Linked DNA regions of Ovis aries. The protein of the gene in region 1 interacts with the protein of each later gene in a biochemical or structural test. Links are inferred from orthologs where the notes say so. Each region holds a gene or a part of one and is shown on either strand. Other genes may lie near its edges.

Evidence for each region. The genes of interacting proteins can lie anywhere in the genome.
Region 2: the proteins of GABARAP (region 1) and ATG4B form a complex in vitro, tested with the Homo sapiens proteins (3 studies listed by BioGRID and IntAct, with this or other methods). The link is inferred for Ovis aries from reciprocal best matches to the Homo sapiens genes GABARAP and ATG4B.

What each region holds. Positions count from the first base shown.
Region 1 is NC_056064.1:26,841,127-26,851,005, forward strand, and holds GABARAP (gamma-aminobutyric acid receptor-associated protein), read right to left. Parts: upstream 5,221-9,879; 5' UTR 5,090-5,220; coding exon 5,000-5,089; intron 4,462-4,999; coding exon 4,383-4,461; intron 4,245-4,382; coding exon 4,126-4,244; intron 3,684-4,125; coding exon 3,618-3,683; 3' UTR 3,192-3,617; downstream 1-3,191. Other genes in the region: PHF23 (PHD finger protein 23), read right to left, coding at 204-296, 475-506, 2,082-2,115; CTDNEP1 (CTD nuclear envelope phosphatase 1), read right to left, coding at 6,844-6,904, 7,197-7,281, 7,694-7,805, 8,719-8,835, 9,257-9,328, 9,540-9,658, 9,752-9,818. UniProt on the Homo sapiens protein: Ubiquitin-like modifier that plays a role in intracellular transport of GABA(A) receptors and its interaction with the cytoskeleton.
Region 2 is NC_056054.1:284,314-292,789, forward strand, and holds the start of ATG4B (cysteine protease ATG4B), read right to left. Parts: upstream 3,640-8,476; 5' UTR 3,625-3,639; coding exon 3,240-3,624; intron 1-3,239. Other genes in the region: peroxynitrite isomerase THAP4, read left to right, coding at 3,915-3,991, 5,902-7,085. UniProt on the Homo sapiens protein: Cysteine protease that plays a key role in autophagy by mediating both proteolytic activation and delipidation of ATG8 family proteins. Required for canonical autophagy (macroautophagy), non-canonical autophagy as well as for mitophagy.

The DNA of each region.
Region 1 (9,879 bases):
CAAAACCATTCACTGCACTCAAGCCACCTGTTAATCCCACTCCCACCCCAGATACTAGTTCTCCCACCAGAATTTCCATTTCCTTAAGTCTTTCACATGTAATTTTGAGGCTTTGTATATAAAGTAACAAAGTCTGGTAAGCTCAAGAGCTCCTCTACAGCCCTAGGACACCACCCTCCAGTCAGTTGTCCTTCTGTCCCTACCTCCTTGCTAGGGGGGATGTAACCTGCATAGGCCAAAACAAAACTGCAAAATTTGTTGAAATCCTCAATTGTCCTCCGACGTTTCTCTGGTGGCTGAAAGAAAATCACACAGAGTTTAAGAGGGGCATCTCCAAAGGCATAGTCCCCAGAGTGAGGAATCAGGAAAAGGTGGAGGGAGAGAGGAGAGGCCCAGGCGGGGGGGGGGGGGGGGGGTGGGGGTGGGGGCGCGGCTGCAATAATATTGGGCTGCAAAGGAATGGGAAACCCTCACCTGAGTCTCTGGTTTAAGGGTCGGAGGTGGATCTGTAAAAGCAATAAAAGCTGAGTCAAGGCACTAGGAAAGAGTCGGTGTGAAACCCCACCTCTCAACCTTCGCGGTCCCAAGTGAACCTCCTCCACTCCCAGGTCCTTCAGCCAGGCGAGCAAGCCCCCAGCGGTGCTGGGCCCGCCCCTGCTCCCCCTTCCGCCCCGCGAGGGGCGGAGCCTGGGCGCGGCGCCCTCTCAGGCCTCGCTATAGCGCTCCCCTCCCCCCCAACCAGAGGCCTGGCGCCCCGCCCCCCCAACTCACGGTTTCTCTAGACTCCGAGCTCCTCGGCTCTCTCCGCGCCCCACCCCGCCATACCGCTCCCTGGACCGAGCCCGGGCTGCCGCCTGCCCCTGTCCTTCACACGCGCTCAGTGCCCCGAGTTCCCACCCCGCCGCGCTCTACCGCCCGGGGCCCTCCGCGCCCGCACACGCCGCCCGCCGGCCCCCAGGGTCCAGGATGACCACGCCGAACCGCTCCCCGCCCTCCGGCCCCTTCTACTCGAGCACGAGGCCCGGCGCGCCCCCCCCCCCCCCCACCCCCAAACACACACGGGCTCACACATCCAACGCCACTTCGCGGCCGGGACAGACCAGAGAGCTCTCACCCGGACGCGGCCCCACCTGCCCCCCCATGCTCCCCACAATTTCGGCGTCCCTCCGCCCCCATCCGGGGCTTTGGCCCCTCCCCGTCTCAAGCTCCTCGGGCTCCCCGCCGGGCCCCCGGGCCCAGTTCCGAGCTCTCTTCGGCCGCCGCCCCCCCTCCGCCCCCGGACTCGCCACCAAGTCACTAAGACTACGGACCCCTAAACTCTAGCCCCCACCCCAGCTACTCTGCCCGCCCAGCAACCCCAGCTGCCGCCGCCGTTGCCCCCCTCACCCTCCGCAACTCCCAGGCTCTAACCCTCGCCGACCAAAACCCCCCTCCGGCGCAACTCGCCGGCCTTAAACCCCCACCCCGCCCCACCGCCCCCAAAACTACCCTGCTCTCGTCGCTCCCCAGCTCCCTCTCCCCACAGCTACCCACCGGCATAAGTCCCTCTACCGCAGACAATGCCCAGGCCCCCTCTTCTCCCCACAACTATCTGCCCACCCCTCCAACAATCACCGGGCTACCTCCGGCGGCAACTACCGGGAGCTCCGGCACCACCGCCACAAACTCCCCCACCTCGGCGAACTACCGAGCTCCTCACTCAATCGTCTCCTACATCCTCTCTCCTCAACAACTCTACGGCTCCCAGATTCCCCTAACCTCTCAGTTCTAGGGCCCCAACCTGCCGGAGGCCCTTTCGGCCCCTAACCCTCGAAGCTCTGGTTTCCAGCTCCCACTCCCCCATCCCACCCCACCCCCTCTACACACACACAGCGTCTAATCTCCAACTACCCCCGGCCCAGTCTCGCACTCCTCTTTCCTCCAAGGTCTCTCAACTCGTCACTCTCCCACCTTCAGGGGCAGGCCCCCGACCCCCTCCCCGCTCTCCCCTGCTGGACTCCGGGGCTCGACCTCCAAGTTTGCCAATAGATTCCTCGCCCGCCCCCCGCCGGCTCAGCGCCCTGTGCCGGTCGAGAGCTCACCTTCGGGACTGGGCTCCGCCATGGCTTCCAGCATCGCCCCCTACCCTCCTCCCGGTTCGGCGCCCCCCTCCCCTGAGCCGGGGATCCCGGTGCCGCCTCCGGTGCTCGGTGCTCCTACTGCCTCGCTCCACAGAGGTGTCTCTTTCGGCTCGGTAGTGACTCGAGTCCGCTAGCCGCTGCCGCCACCTCCCTCTACCACAGCCTCCCGCACTCCCGGACCGGGCCCCCTCCCCCCGCGCCGCCGGCCGCCTGCTCCCTCCTCCTCTCCACCCTCCCTCCTTCTCTCTCCCCCTCCCTTCGCGGGTGCTAACGCGCAATGCATCAAGGGGATTGTAGTCAGTCCGCCGTGAGCGAGAAGGGGCCTGTATAAGCATCCGGAACTCCAATTCCCAGCAAACCACGGACTGGGCGCAGGCGCACTAAACTGCTCTCCTCCCCCGGGGAGTGGCGGGGAGATTGGGAGCAGAGGGGAGGGCGGAAGAGTACGCGCAGGCTCCTGGGATATGTAGGCTAGGCGGCGCCAAGAAAGAACGGGAAGAAGGGATAAGAACTCTCGGCCACCATACTGCCTCAATTCTGCAGCTTTCTATCTCCGTGGGGACCACCCCACTTCCGGCCAGTTAGAGAAAGGCTGCTGGGAGATGAAGTTCTCCTGGTGATAATGGCTCCCTCCTCCCAGTTTTCTCCCTCCCTTGGATTCCACTCCACTGGATCCCTCACGCCGGGCAAAGCGACATACATCTGACAACGGAGCCCTTTCACTAGCTCCCATACTCGAAAATCTCTTCCTTAATCCAGAAAGTTACGACACAGTTGGATGTTTTATCTGAAGAAGGTGCTTTCAAACTTTATCCACAGGAACCCACTGTAAAAAACTTTAATAACCTCAGGACCCAACCCATATACACGTATATAAAACTGAACTTTCATGAAATGATATTCAGTATTCCATCCCTCATAACAAAAGCACACTCTTAATATACACAAGGAAAAGCCGAACATAAGCAGAACAAACCAAAATATACTATTCCCTCTAACCTACTCTTTTCCCACCACTTGAAGAGAACAAAAGGGGGAGGGGAACAACACAAAGAAAAAATCCAGTTCAGCTTGGTGGTGGTTTCCTCTTTATTGATGTGCCTCCTACCTTCCCCCACAATTTCAGTCCCTTCCATCTACCCCCCAAAAAGAAGGTAGTGAAAAGAAAGGATTGTTGGGGCTCTGAGCCCCTTGGGCAGTTAGAAAGGGAACAGAAACCAAAACAATCACCAGATGTGACAGAGATTGACAATCAAGAAATCTAAAGCAGAATGGGAAAGGTGGTAAAGAAAGGGGAAGAAAGAAAGGAGAGGTATTAGAGGCCATCTCCCCCATTAACCCTTGTGTTAAGAGGGTCTGTAGGAGAGTCTCAAACATTAGGAAGTGCAGGTCCTGAAGAAGGGAGGTGGTGTTTGAACCTCAAGGAGGAGTAGGTCAAGGAAGGGGGGCCACCTCTCTCTTTGTAGAATGGGACCCCCCACCTTAGGGGCAGCAGCTTCACAGACCGTAGACACTTTCATCACTGTAGGCAATGTATAGAAAGAAGTCTTCTTCATGGTGTTCCTGGGATGAAGACAGAAAACAACAGCGTTCAGGCATCAGAGTTTTAGTTACTTGAACCACCCACCACTGGGACATATTCTTCCACAACCATTCTTTTTGAAGACCCCAAACACCAGTGCTTTGACTCTCCCTCTCACTTGCTCCAGACCATAAGTGCTGGGCAGTATTATCCTATCCACAGTCTTGGACAATAAGATCTCAAACTACTCTCTACTGCCTTGGAACACGGAATGGCTGGAGGGGAGTCTGGACCACAGCGGTTACTCTGGTTCACTGCCCTGTCCAAATCCCTAACCCAGAACGATGCGGAAATCTTAAGGGTGAATATAAAATTGAGAGCTAAGTAAGCCAGCTGGTCCAAGAACTGCTGACTTCAAACTTTCTGCCTCTCAAGCGCTTCCAACTCCTCCCCAAAGCCTCCTCTACTTCCCAGGCACCATACCTGGTACAGCTGACCCATCGTGGCACTGGTGGGCGGAATGACGTTGTTGACGAAGAAAAACAAGGCATCCTCTGCTCGGAGATGAATTCGCTTCCGGATTAAGAAGTAGAACTGGCCAACTGCCAAGATACAAGGCTTAATAAAAGTCAGAGATCACAAATACCCTCAAAAGAACACCTGCTATGTGGAGTCTCCTCCATCAGAGACTGTACTCCCACCCCCAGGAAACAAATCTGAGTACTGGGTCAGGTTCCCACCTGTAAGATCAGAAGGCACCAGGTATTTCTTTTTGTCCAGGTCTCCTATTCGAGCTTTAGGAGCCTTTTCTACTATCACCTGTTAAAAAGAAGATAAAAATTAGCAGACACTAGGTACACAGACGCACAGCTCCACCTGTCAAGAATTCAACATTCCTAGCACCCACACGTACCCCAGACTCATTTCTCTTTGTCTCTTAACACGCGGCGCAGCCCTGAATAGGAATTCTGACCCCATTGACTCTAATTCACCTAAACATCCAGGATCCCTGAATACGGCGTCATAAAAACAATTACGTTAATCAGACGAGGATGACTTATTCGGGCCAACCAGAGCTTCAATTTCAAAAACCTTATGGGAAGCTCAGACTGTCAAACGCCCCGCAGCCTCCCACGGGAACCCCAAGGTCTGTCTCTCGAGTCTACATCTTCTCACTTTCAGCTCTACTGGTACCCCATTCCTTTCACCTCCGGTCCCAGAAACAGCGGGTTGGGGCTCGTTCCCAACGCCGCCACAACCGGCAGCCTGATGCCTGCGCTGTGGGTCCCGGACTCAAGCCCAGGCTGTGGCGTCAGCGCCAGCGCCCCGCGCCCTCGGCCCTGGCTACTGTCCTCACCGGGACCCGGTCCGGGTATTTCTTTCGGATCTTTTCGCCCTCAGAGCGGCGCTTCTCGAACGGATGCTCCTCTTTATACACGAACTTCATCCTCCCGGGAACCGGGCTGGACCGGGCTGGGCTGAGGGAACCCGGGGGGGGCCGGGACGGGGGGCGGCGGCGACGGCAGCGACGCGCGGGCGGATTCAGCGGAGCGATCCCCGGACTTGCGCCACTTCCCTATTCACCAACCCCGCCCCCAGCCAACAGGGGCCTCCCAGGCTGCTATGTTACGCCACTGACGTAACTGCCCTAACGCCAGTAGCGTAGCACCACCTACTGACCTCCTCTCTCACGCCCTCAGCGTAATCGCTTTGGAATCAATTTGTAAATTACGCAGGCGGCGTAGAAAAGATGGTTGCCTTTTGCTATCGTCGGAAATAACTGAAAATCCATTTCCCGACTTTCCCCACAGGGAGGTAACGATGATAAGGGCTAAAAGATGGTAATCGTAATTTGAGACTTGGCTCTCCGAAAGCTCTTTTCGGAAGTAATGCAGAGGAAAGGCAGATAATTAAAGGATAGCTATTCACGAAATCTGTTGGTACGCTGAAGGCGGCCGTTGACACCAAAACAAAGTAGTACCCAAGTGGAGGAAGAGGTCGCTGGAAATAAGAGGGCAGAAACGAAACCTGTTTGGAGAGACGCACTGGACGCTTAAGTTCCAATAATGAGTGGACCAATAGGGACTGGAGAGGAGGTCTAAAAGGTAAGGACTACGTCAGCGCGGAAGAACACCGCTGCTGTGTCCGCGAAAATCATGTGATCTCAAAGGGCGGAGCGTCACGTGGCAGGCGCGAGGAAGTAGAGCCGGCTTGGGCTTTGGGAGGAGGGCCCCGGGGAGGTGGGGACGTGGGGCCGGGTCAGCCAGGGGGCTGGGGAGCCCGCCGCTCGAAGGAAGCGCCTGCCTAGCTAGTACATGCCAGTCTTCCAGACGAAGCCCAGCCTTTCTTGTCGTCGAGGTTTCTACTCCTTTAATACTTCGTCCTACTGCACTGAAGCTCAGGTTCTCTCAGGACACACAGCTGTCTCTTCACTCCCCACCAGGGTGCCCATCCTGTCACTAAGACCCTTCCTGCCAGGGAAAGCCAACACTATCCTTCCCCCTACACTTAGGGTCTACAGCAGGCTCTTCTCTCTCTGCCTAGTGAACAGGGTGGATATGAACAAAAACCCCTCCCTCGTTTCCCCAAACCCCAGAGAAGGACCTAGGGCAGCTTTGGTTTCAAAGTTATAATGCATGGTTTAAAAGAGAGGAAAGGAAAAAAGAGAAAGCTGGTTACAGATCTGAGGGAATCTAGGAGGAAGGGCAAATAGAGGGAAAGTAAAGGAGGGGACAAGTTTGGGGGAAGTCCAGTGGCCCAAAATCCCAGTTTCCCACCCACAGCCCAGCCCTTGGAGTGAAGAATTAGATCAGTTTTGTACAAGAGTTTTTAAAAAATCAAATCACAACAAAGCTGGCTTGGCTTCTCTTTTGAGCCTCCCGGATTACCGAATGTCTGTCTCACTCTGGCCAGTTGTGTCTCTCCACCAGACACTGTTGCGGCTCTCCTAGGTCTCCGCTTATGTCCCAGTCTGGGGTTTCCAGGAGTGCGAACACGAAGTTAGAGTGAGGCTGCTTCAGAATCTGGCCCTTGTGTCCATCCAGACTCCGTAGGGAGTGCAAGGCTCCCAGGGCAGAGAGGGGTGGGAGGGGCAGACCCTGCCCAGACAGTCCTCACCGTTGGACAGGGCATCAGACGGCATCCCGAGGGCTCACCCTCCCCTTCCCCCCCACCCCAACTCAGGTGGAGGGGGAGCAGCTGTCACCAGAGCCTATGTTGGTGAAGGTTTCGGCTCAGCACAGAACGAACATCAGCGGTGAACCTGGGACGACAATAACTTGCATTGGTAGAGTCCTCATGGGGACAGCCTCCTCACACTAATGTAAAGCAGCCTCACTGAAGACGTGGGACAGAAAGAACCACCATTTTCTCATGAGGCTGAGGTTCAGTTTGCCCAAAACCCAATGGCTAAAGGTGAGGAGTTTAGACCTAGGTTCAAAAATTATATTCTTAGGGAAAAGAGATAAGGAAGTAAAACAGGACAAACTTTTATTCCTTCTTGGGATCCCCTACCACTCTTCTTCTCAGAAATCTAAGTGTCTAGCTTCCCTTACCTGAGGGCATCCAGCATTGGAAGCAGGTTGAGAAGGGCGGTATCACTGGGATCACTGAACCAGGATTTGATGGGGATGGCATTGTCTAGGGTGGGTGAAAAGGCACATGAGAATAAAGGGTTCAAGAGAGAAAGGGTGTTTTCCCTTTTATTTGGGGGCGGTTACTTTAAAATACATAACCTCCCTCCCAAACTCAATGACCTAAGTAAAACCTTCTGTATTTATTTTCCAAAACGAAATTAAATTTTAATCACCATATCTCATACTAGGGTAAGGCTTCTAGTCAAACTTGTGCCTTGTGTCTTACCTAAAGCAAATTTTATATGAAAAATCTGATTTATGAAACATATTGGGGGGGAGGCAGGGAACACTCTCATATGAAAAAAACAGCTTGCATCCTGACCTACTGTAAACCAGGGAATCCCAGCCCCATGCATTCAAAATACCTCCTTAGAACCACTTTCTAGTCCTGCCAGACTCACTGCCTTCTCCCTTACCTGGATGGCTCCTGTAAGCCCCTGGCGAGTTATCCAGGATCACAATGCTGGAGAGGTCACTGTGGACCACAGAGAGGTCCTTGATGTAGCTGCCCAATTCCAAAGTGCAGTGCTGGAAGGCAGGGTGGGCTGGGCATCAAAAGGAGACTCCGCCCTCTGTGATTGCTCCCCCAATCCCAACAATGCCCACAGGCAGCCAGTTCCCACAAAAGGGGATTATGTAGTACCCACACACACACCCTTAGAAGGTCCCATTCCAGAACTACCTTATGACCCAGCAATCCCACTGCTGGGCATACACACCGAGGAAACCAGAATTGAAAGAGACACATGTACCCCAATGTTCATCGCAGCACTGTTTATAATAGCCAGGACATGGAAACAACCTAGATGTCCATCAGCAGATGAATGGATAAGAAAGCTGTGGTACATATACACAATGGAGTATTACTCAGCCGTTAAAAAGAATTCATTTGAATCAGTTCTGATGAGATGGATGAAACTGGAGCCGATTATACAGAGTGAAGTAAGCCAGAAAGAAAAACACCAATACAGTATACTAACACATATATATGGAATTTAGGAAGATGGCAATGACGACCCTGTATGCAAGACAGGGAAAGAGACACAGATGTGTATAACGGACTTTTGGACTCAGAGGGAGAGGGAGAGGGTGGGATGATTTGGGAGAATGACATTCTAACATGTATACTATCATGTGAATTGAATCGCCAGTCTATGTCTGACGCAGGATGCAGCATGCTTCGGGCTGGTGCATGGGGATGACCCAGAAAGATGTTATGGGGAGGGAGGTGGGAGGGGGGTTCATGTTTGGGAATGCAAGTAAGAATTAAAGATTTTAAAATTAAAAATATATATATATATTGAACCAAAATTAAAACTAAAAAAAAAAAAAAAAAAAAAAAAGGAAGGTCCCATTCCTGGGCAGTTGCCTCAAACTGAAGCCCCTCCCTGATGGCCTGCCTCCCCAGCCTCATTCTTAGGCTTAGATTCTAGTCCCTTACCTGTCTGTAGTATCTCCTCTTGAGAATGCTTCTGCTATTATCCAGTTTATCTGCCACAGCAGAGCCATAAATCTCCATGCTTGCTGTGAACACCACCAACTCGTACCACTGGCTCACCTGAAATAGATTAGACAAGAGGAAGCTGTCAGAAGAGGTGATTGTTCATTTGGACATACAGTTCCCTTTTACTAAGACTCCAGTGAAGACCTTCAGGCTTTTCAGCAACACTGCATGTCTCTGAGGACACAAAATTTTGAAACTGTCCTTAAGACTCCAAGTTTTAGGCATCATACCCCCTTAAGATTCACAGATGCAAGAACAAGGTAGCAGAAAGGCCATGCAAAAATAGAACTGCATCAGCATAATAAATGAACTCTAACTATGGAAAGCCCTTCTCTGATCATCCAACAACCTCCCCTCTCCAAAACTGCCCCTGCCCATTTCTCTTGATCCCTTAATTCCTCCAAATCCTCTACATTCCCAGAGCCCTAAAACCATTCCTTCATCCCAGAACTGCCTTCAGCGTCTGCAAACTCACCACTTCCAAGAAGAAATCCACATGGGGCCTCTTATGTACAAAAAACCGGACGGGATGTTTGTCTATTACCACCTGCGGAGGAACACAGCAGGGCTGGGAGAACTCCTAAGCACCTCCACCCAGGCCTCAAGGACACCCCCTACCCTCCCACTGCTTGCTCCCCTTTTTCAGGCTGCCCCCATGGCCCAAGGACGAGGCCAGGGACGAGGTACTCTGGGATTGGGAAAGAATCTGAGCAGAATTACAGACACAAGTTATTCCATCACTTCCTACTCCCACACACCTTGAGAATGAAGTCAGGAGGCGTTCCAGGCCGGACTGTGGGCCTCAGGACCCCATCATGATGGGAGTGAATAAGTGTCTCATCCAGATCCAGCACCAGGATCTTCCTTTTCACCTGGCCTGAACCACAGGGGAAGGGGTAACACCAACCTACCTCCAGCCAAGACCTGGAACCCGACCTCACCTAGGGTTCCTCCCAGCCAGCATACTCACTTAGCCGATTCCGGGACACAGGAGATAAGGGAAGGATGTCATATCGAACAGTTTGGTACTGAATTACCTAGGAATAGCAAGAGAGAAGGTTAAACCCTGGACAAGGAAATCTTCCCTACTAACAATAG
Region 2 (8,476 bases), on another chromosome or scaffold:
AGAACTCTTTAGAGCTCAGTGTAACGTACCACACTTCAAAGACGTTTTCCCAACGTGTATATTTCTGGGAGATTATATTTTATAAATACGTGTTATGCTTTGTAAACATGTGTTATGTATGCTTTTAAAACAAAACCAAAAGAAGGGTCTTCCCTTCTTTTCTTCCATACGAACATGCTTATGTTTAAAATCACAAGTTTGCAAGTAGTTATTTTCAAATCCCAAATAGTTTATATGAAAATGCTGGCACTGGAAGGACTGATGCTGAAGCTCCAATATTTTGGCCACCTGACGCAAAGAGCCGACTCATTAGAAAAGAGCCTGATGCTGGGAAAGACTGAAGGCAGGAGAGGGGATGACAGAGGATGCGATGGTTGGATGGCACCACCGACTCGATGGACATGACTTTCAGCAAGATCCGAGAGTTGCTGATGGACGGGGAAGCCTGGCTTGATGCAGTCCCTGGGGCCAGAAAGAGTGGGACACGGCTGAACAGCAACAGTTCTCAATGAAAAGATGAAGCAAGGGAAGGAGATAGATGGAAGGAAAGAAAAGCTGGAACTTTAGGGGCACCAGGACACTGCCCAGGGCACCCCAGTGAACACACCGGAGAGAAGGGGCTCCAGCCGGCCCTCAGTGAGCCTGACTGCCCTCCTCATCCCCTGCGCGTTACACCAACACGCGGGTTTCCATCATACACAAACCCTGCAGCCCGGGAACACCCACAGGATAGGACCAGGTGCATCACCAGCAACTCACGTTCTGCTGCTTCCATCACCAACCACCTACCTGTCAGACACAGGCAAAGCCCAAAGATGAAGCACAAGACACCAACCCTGTCCTCAAGGAGCCGACAGCATGTCAAGTCCAGTGCCAACCAGAGCAGGCTGTGAGGACGGGCCTGGGGTCTGGCCTGCCACCCGCAGCCCGGCAGCAGCCCTGGGCCTCCAGCCCCGCCTCCCCTCCCACTCAGGCCCTTAGAGCCCTTGCCCAAACCAGCCGCACACACTTCTACCTCCAGCCCAGGCCTCCGCTCTCAGCTCCAGGCCCGCAGACCCGAGGCTCCTTGGACGACACAGCACAGACGTCTAGCAGGTGCCTCACTCTCGCCCCCTGCAAGACCCACCTCCTAACATCTCCCTAGCAAGTGCGGCTCCCCAGGTCTCCCCGCGCGCATGTCCCAGCTCAAGCCACAGACCGCGGCACTTCAAACCCCTCTCAACACGTGGCTGGCCCTCACACTTCCCACCACCACTGTCCTCCTTGCCCCGACCTGCAGAGGTACCAGATCCCAACCCCCTCTCCCTGCGAGGACCCGGGGCTCCAGGCCCGCGCCTGGCTCACTGCGGCGGCCTCCTGACGGGCCTCCTGCTCCTCTACAGCAGAGCAGCCAGTGCAAGCCGCGCTGCTCCTTGAAAAGGCCCCTGAAGCAGCCCCGTCCCACTCACATGCCACGAGCCAGCAAGTCCAACGACCAGACCCTCTCGCTGCCCCGCCTTCAGTTCGCTCACCCCCACCCACTGCGCCCTGGCCACTGGCGGAGCAGGCCACAGGCCCTTCCCCCTGCACCGCTTTTGAGTCCCAGTCAAAACTGGCTGCCTCTGTGGTGAGATCTTTCCAGGCCATTCTGGTGATTCCAACTCCCTCCTGCTGGGGCCACAGCACTCTCCCACGAGCCACTCCGTGGGTGTCACGTCTAACACGTCAGTCAGCACACACTTTTTGTCTACTTCGTTCACGTCTCTAGTCCCAAGATGTAGAACAATGCCGGACACAAACGCACACTCAGTAATAAACACAGCTATTGAACAGATGACTGTAAAAACCACCAGAACTGCATAATGTTTGGCCAGGAAGGCGGAACCTGTAAGGACTCCAGGAATCAGGGCAGGCTGGACATTAATGATCCCAAAGGACGCACAGCGTCAGGTCAGAAAGAAAACTGACCCACACACCCTAGACGTTTCTGTCAGCATCAGCAAAGGCCTTCACGTGCAAACAGCTCTGCTTTGAAGCAGGGATCAGGGTTCCATGGAGCCTCCATCATGTGGCTGCTCTTAACTTGAACAGGACGGCTTCCACGTTTAAGGTAAAATGACCACCATAACACTGTGCTCTCCACCCTAACCGAGTCTCTCAAGGGATGGTCTTAGTAAGTAAGTAATTCTATTCCTTCCCCCATCCAGGGGAGTAGTCCTTTTTGTTTTAAACAGCTTCACAACACATCTGGTTAACATCACATTTTGGGAATCATGGCTACCATCTCCTACTACTACCTAACACGTTGAACTAACAAGATGCCACAAATCACTGAAATATTGGCCATAAAGGTTTATATCACAGCTTCCAAGTTGACAGTCCAGTAAATGCCCATTGAAGCTGCTGTCCAGGAAGAAAAAATGAAGCAAAAACAATGTCATCCAGGATAACAGGGGGAATTAAGCCAGAGGAGAGTCTGTACCGTTGGGAAGGTTCTTAACACAGATCACTTCCTACAGATTTTATAAAAAGAGTAACCCTGCTGTGAGATGGAAAAAGAAGGCCTTTCAAGGTGTAAGAATGCTTTCAAGGATACCGGACAAAAATCCCCAACAGCGTGCCAGCAAAAATTAAAGAAGTGTCCCCTCCGCAGCAGAAACACAATGAAAACAGACGGAAACAGCGCACAGAGAGACACGGATGCGCACACACCCCCCCAACCCAGTCCCACACATTCTGCATTGCTGTAAGCAAGCTCCCAAGAAGTTGAGACACGATGAGGCGGAGTCCGTCTGTCCTTTCAATCAAGGGGAACGCTGGGGTCATTTATTAGTTACTGAATTTGAAGAAGAAAACATCCCTGCGTTGTGAGTACTGAAGTATGCCGCTCGCCTGCAGCCTTTAACTTCGTGAGAGTTGAAGTTTCCCCTTCTCAACTCCGGGCGGGGGGGGGGGGGGACAAAAGCTTCCCGCCGCCGCGTCAGAGACCGGCTTCGCCTGCCCCGCCGCGCCGCCCGGCGCCCCCGCCCGCGCCCCGCGCCGCCCCTGCTCGTCCCGGCCGCCGTCGGGCCCCCGGGAGCGGCCGCCGGGGCGCCAGACACGCCGACCCTGGCAGGGCTGTCAGCGCCTCGCCGGCCGCCCGCGCCGCCTCAGGGCCGCGCCCCGCCCCGCGCCGCGCCCGCGAGGCCCCAGCCCAGGCGCCGGCGCGCAGCCGCTCGGCGAGGGCCTCCCCGGCGGACCCGCGCGCCGCCGGCCCTCACCTGCGTCCATCTTCGCTCCAGGGCCGCCGACTGAGCGCGGCGTCGCTCCGACGGCCCCGCAGCGCGACGCGACGGGCCGCCGCCCGGGCCAATCCGGGTCGCGCGGCGCGGGCGCGGGCGGGGCCGGAAGTGCGCGGCCGGAACTGCGCGGCCGCGGCGCCGCCGCCATCTTGGCGTACGGCGCGCCCGGCGCGGCGGCCCGGGCCCGCGCGCGCGGCCTCCCGGCGGCCTGCGTCGCGCCCCCGGGGATCCCCGCGGCGATTCCCCGCGGCCGCGGAGGCCGGCGCCAGGGAGCCGCAGGGCGCCGGGGCGGGCGGCGGGCCGGCAGCGCGCGCGCGCCCGCCGGGGCGGCCATCTTGCCGTACGGACGCGCCCCGGGCGCCATGTGGCGGGCGGGCGCGGCGGGCCCGGGGCGCCGCCCCCGCCACCCCCGGCCCCGCGCGTCTCGGGCGGCGCCCCTCCTGGCGCCGGGGCCCTCGGGCGCGCCGAGAGCCGGGCCGGGCGGCCGGGCGGCGGGCGGGCGGGCGCCGCCATCTTGCCGTACGGCGGGGGCCGCGGGGCCGGCTCCCACGTCCCGCAGCCGTGTCGCCGCGCGCCCTCCCCTCGGGGCGGTCCCGCTCGGGGCTCGGCGCGGCTAGACGAGGGCCGGAGCCTGGCGGCGGCCCGAGGCCCGAGATGGTGATCTGCTGCGCGGCCGCGAACTGCTCCAACCGGCAGGGCAAGGGGGAGAAGCGCGCCGTCTCTTTCCACAGGTAAGCGGGCTCCGCCTGCCGCCGCCGGTCCGCCGCCCGCGCGGCCCGCCGGCCACGCCCCCGCCCGGCCCGGCCCGGCCCGGCCCGACCCGACCCGGCCCGGCCCTGCGGGGCGAGCGGTGCGGCGCGGCCCGGCCGGACGCTGGGGCGCTCGGGGCGCCGGCCCCGCGAGTGAGTCAGCGCGGCGCTGTGTGACCTTGGCCCGCCGGCGTCTCTGGGCCGGGCTCCTCGGGCCACCGCGGCCCCCGGAGCCCGCGACCCTCGGGCGGTCGTAGGCCGCCGGGTGCCCTGAGCCGCCGGGGCTCGGGCTGCCGCCGCCAGGCTCCGGAGACGGGGCGCGCGGGGGACGCGCTTCCTCCGCGCGGCCGTGCTCTCGCGCCCGCGGTCACTTTGCTGCCGTTTCGGTCGCGGGGAGCCCGCCTGGACCTCTGGATCGGGACGAGGCCGAGCGAACGCACCCCGCGCCCCGGGGACTGACGCGCCCCGGGGCGCTGTGTCCTGGGGGTCCCCCGGACGGCCCCGGGTCCCGGGGGGCGCCCGGCCGCGTGCTGCCGGCCCGGCCCGCCCCCGCCGGGGCGCCGCTGCGAGTCGTGGCGCCGCGGAGGGTGGCCCGGAACGGGGTGGGGGTCGGCCTTCTCTCTGGCCTGGCCCGCACCAGGAAGGCGCTGGGACTCAGCCCTCTTCAAAAGCGAGTGGTTTTCTGCGACCTCCCCGCCTGCAGTATCAGAACGTGAGCAGAAGAACCTCTGTCCGAACAGCCTCCCGCCGCAGACTTTTCTCTTTGCTGTTTCAGGGGGATGTTTAAGTTTCCAATACCTGCACGAAGGCTCTTTAGAATCTCACTGGAAGTTGAAGTTGGTTAGCGCTAAGTCTCAAATCGTCACAGTCTGCTAAGATATAATAGGTTATTGCAGATGCCAGCTCCCTGGTTTCTCACGTTCCCTCCGGAGCCAGTAGTTTTCTCACCTGGGAACTGGGGGTGGGGCGAGAGTCTTAGGGTAATGGGCTCCCAAAGCAACGAGGAAATTTAGAAGGTCGGAGTGGTTGGGACTTGCTGAGGAGGTGGTATTCCAGCAGCCCACCCCCACTCGCCGCCGGGCCTGGTCCCCCAGCGCTCCGGTGGGTTAGGCGGCCTCAGATGTGGCGAACAGCCGTCCAGAGTGGGCGCACCACCCCCACACGTGCGCGTGCAGTTCCACTAGAGTTTTCTAAACAGAGATCTTGCTTGAATGAAGAAAGAAAAGTTAGGTATTTTATTCAGTATCTTCCGGGGGCTGGTTGCTCTTTAAAGGGAGTGGTCTTACTCCTGGTGGTGGACGTCTGTCGGGAGCGCAGGCGCCCCCTCTTAGAGCTGTCTCACACCCTCGGCCCCGTGAGCGGCAGCTGGGGCACCTTGGGGTGGAGTGCCCTCCTGGCCTCTTGCCCCCATCTCTGTTGGCTGACTCCGGACCTGGCTTTTAAGTGGGGGGGCGGGGTGCCTGTGGGCAGCCATCCTTCCTCCTCTTGGCGCCTAGAGTCCTGCATCCCAGTTCACCGTGAGGGCTGGCCTGCTGCGAGCTTCCAGGAACTACTTCCGGGAGCCTTCCTGCTGTCGCGATGCCTTCGGCTCTGTCTCTCCCAGCACTCTGCCCTTGCACGTTATTTACCGCAGCCTAGGAGGAGGTATTCGCCTTCGCCTCTGATTTGCCCATGGACTCTAGCTTCTTAAGGGTAGGCAGTGTGAGTCTCATCTTTCTGTTCCACTAATAAGTTGCAAGTACAAGGTGTTCCTTAGATCTTTGCTAAGTTTGTAAATGGGAAAGTCAGTACAGGTCTGGGTATTTGTAAAGACTGTTATTCTCCTGTTACAGTTGATAGTATTAGGGGAGGCTTTTTAATTATTTTTTCGTAATTTTCTATTTGTCCTGCAGATTCCCCCTAAAGGACTCAAAGCGGCTGATGCAGTGGCTGAAGGCTGTTCAGAGGGATAACTGGACCCCCACCAAGTACTCTTTCCTCTGCAGTGAGCACTTCACCAAAGACAGCTTCTCCAAGAGACTGGAGGACCAGCACCGCCTGCTCAAGCCCACGGCCGTGCCGTCCATCTTCCACCTGGCGGAGAAGAAAAGGGGGGCTGGAGGCCATGGCCGCCCCCGGAGAAGGGACACCGGGAGGGCCTCGGCGGGTCTGAGGGCACAGGCGAGTGACACCGCGGTAGGGAAGGCAGCTGCAGGGGCACCGTCGTCCTCAAGCGCAAGCCCAATGGCCAAGCCAGAGCCCCGCAGGCTGAAGCGGGCCGTACCGCAGGGCCGAACCGCGGCCAGGGTCGCCCGGGAGACCGCTGGTCAGGAGTGGTCGCGGCAGCCTCCGGAAGGACGCGCGGAGGACGGTCCGGCCTCCACCGCCACCTCCAGCAGCCAGGGAGAAGCCGGCACAGGGGCCGTGGATGCTGGCGACGAGGGCGCCAACCCCGCCGACGGCGGCCAGGTGGACAGGAGCGGCGTTTCCGCGGACGACTTCACGCCCCCGGGCTCCGGGGCCTGCAAGTTCATCGGCTCGCTTCACTCCTATAGCTTCTCCTCCAAGCATGCCCGAGAGAAGCCGGCCGTGCCCCGGGAGCCTGTGGAGCGGAAGCGGCTGAGGAGAGACGCCGAGCCCAGCCACAGCGGGAGTAGCCCCGGGCCCGAGAAGGGGCCGGCACAGAGCCCTCTGCGCGCCTGCCCCCCCGCGAGCTCGTCGCTCACGGCCACACCGCAGAAGCCAGCCCAGGGCGCCTCGGCGCCTCCCACCGACGTGACCCCGAAGCCGGCGGCCGAGGCCGTCCAGAGCGAGCACAGCGACGCCAGCCCCATGTCCATCAACGAGGTCATCCTGTCGGCGTCGGGCGCCTGCAAGCTCATCGACTCACTGCACTCCTACTGCTTCTCCTCCCGCCAGAGCAAGAGCCAAGTGTGCTGCCTGCGGGAGCAGGTGGAGAAGAAGAACGGCGAGCTGCGGACCCTGCGCCAGAGGGTCAGCCGCTCGGACAGCCAGGTGCGCGAGCTGCGCCAGAAGCTGGACCAGCTGCGGAGGCTGAGCCTGCCTCACCTGAGCAGCCTGCTGCCCCCTGGCCGCGGTCAGTACCCGAGCCCCGGCCCAGGGGCCCCCGTGTGCTGTCTCCAGGCCCCGCTGGAGGGATGGGAGCCGGGGCGGCGGCTGTAGCTGAGGGTTTTAGGCAGCGCGGAAGGAGGTGCGGGAGACCCAGGGTGGCGGGAGGGCCCTGGCCAGGGAGGCCCTTCCGGTGCACACTGCAGGCAGAGTCCTGGGGAATTAGGTCTGAGTGTAAGTTAAGACAGCTCAACCTGCTAGAGATGAGAAGAGAGTCTAAATCAGAGGGAGGTCCTTCACGGTTGCATTGTGATGGCTATCCCTGACATCAGGTAGTTTCGAATGTTAATACTAACCTTGAAATTGCAAACGCCTACTGAAGTAGAGTGCGTTCTAGTAGGAACACTGCGGAAACTCAGAAATTTGTAACCCAAGAAACGGTGAAGACTCCACTTTCCCATGTGGGCTTCCCAGACGGCTAGACTAGTTTTTATGCTTTTATTTATGTATTTTTGTATCTATACCAATAGCTTGGATATATATTTTATATGTTATCACTTTTGTTTCTGCTTCCCCTCCTAGTTTACTGTTTGTTTCTTGGAAAATTTGTTCTGAGGATAGTCTCTCTTGCCCGTTAAGTAGATGAAGGTGGAAACCATTTTCCTCCCACGTTGTGCATTTAGTCTGAATCCGCCTTTGTCTTCCAGGTTGTAATTAATTGCAGGTGAGGAAAGGCTGGCGTGTGACACAGGGTCTTCACGGTTTCCTGGACTAAACCCCGCCCCCCCCACCACCGCCCACCCAGATCAACAACCAAAAATGAGCAAAACCCAAACCCATCCTGATGTACTGGTCAGAGTCACACACTACATTCTCTCCTAGTGTTTTACAGCGGTTTTGTACTTTCTCGTACCTAGTAACTGCTTTCTGGCACTTTTTCTGTTCTTCTTGGTCAAACGGCCCTCAGTGTATCACTGTAGCAGCTCTTTCCACGCCGCCTGCGCTGATGAGGTCTCTGCTGCTCTTGCTCCTTCATTCACCCTCATTTCTTTCTGCCCTCTTATGTCCGTGGCTTTTTTGCTCAGGAGGGCAGTGCTGACTGGGTTGAGACAGTGCGTGTTTCCCGATCCTGCAGGTGAGGCTGGCCCCTTCTGCCGCTTTGGCTGTGCGCCACACACCCACCTCCCGCTGCTTTCTGGGCAGTTGGTTTCTACAGCATTTGTAATTTTAGCCTGATTCCCTCTTTAACCTGCGTTATTTAGGAGGGTGCCATGGTTTCTGGCTTGCATAGCCTGGGGGAAGGGAGCTGATTTGTGTTTCATTGTTCAGGCCCAGTGCTTTGGCAACCTTAGAGAATCTTCTGAGGTTTCAGGGAGGCCCAGTACAGTCTGCGCGTGGCCACCTCCCTGAGCCTCCCCG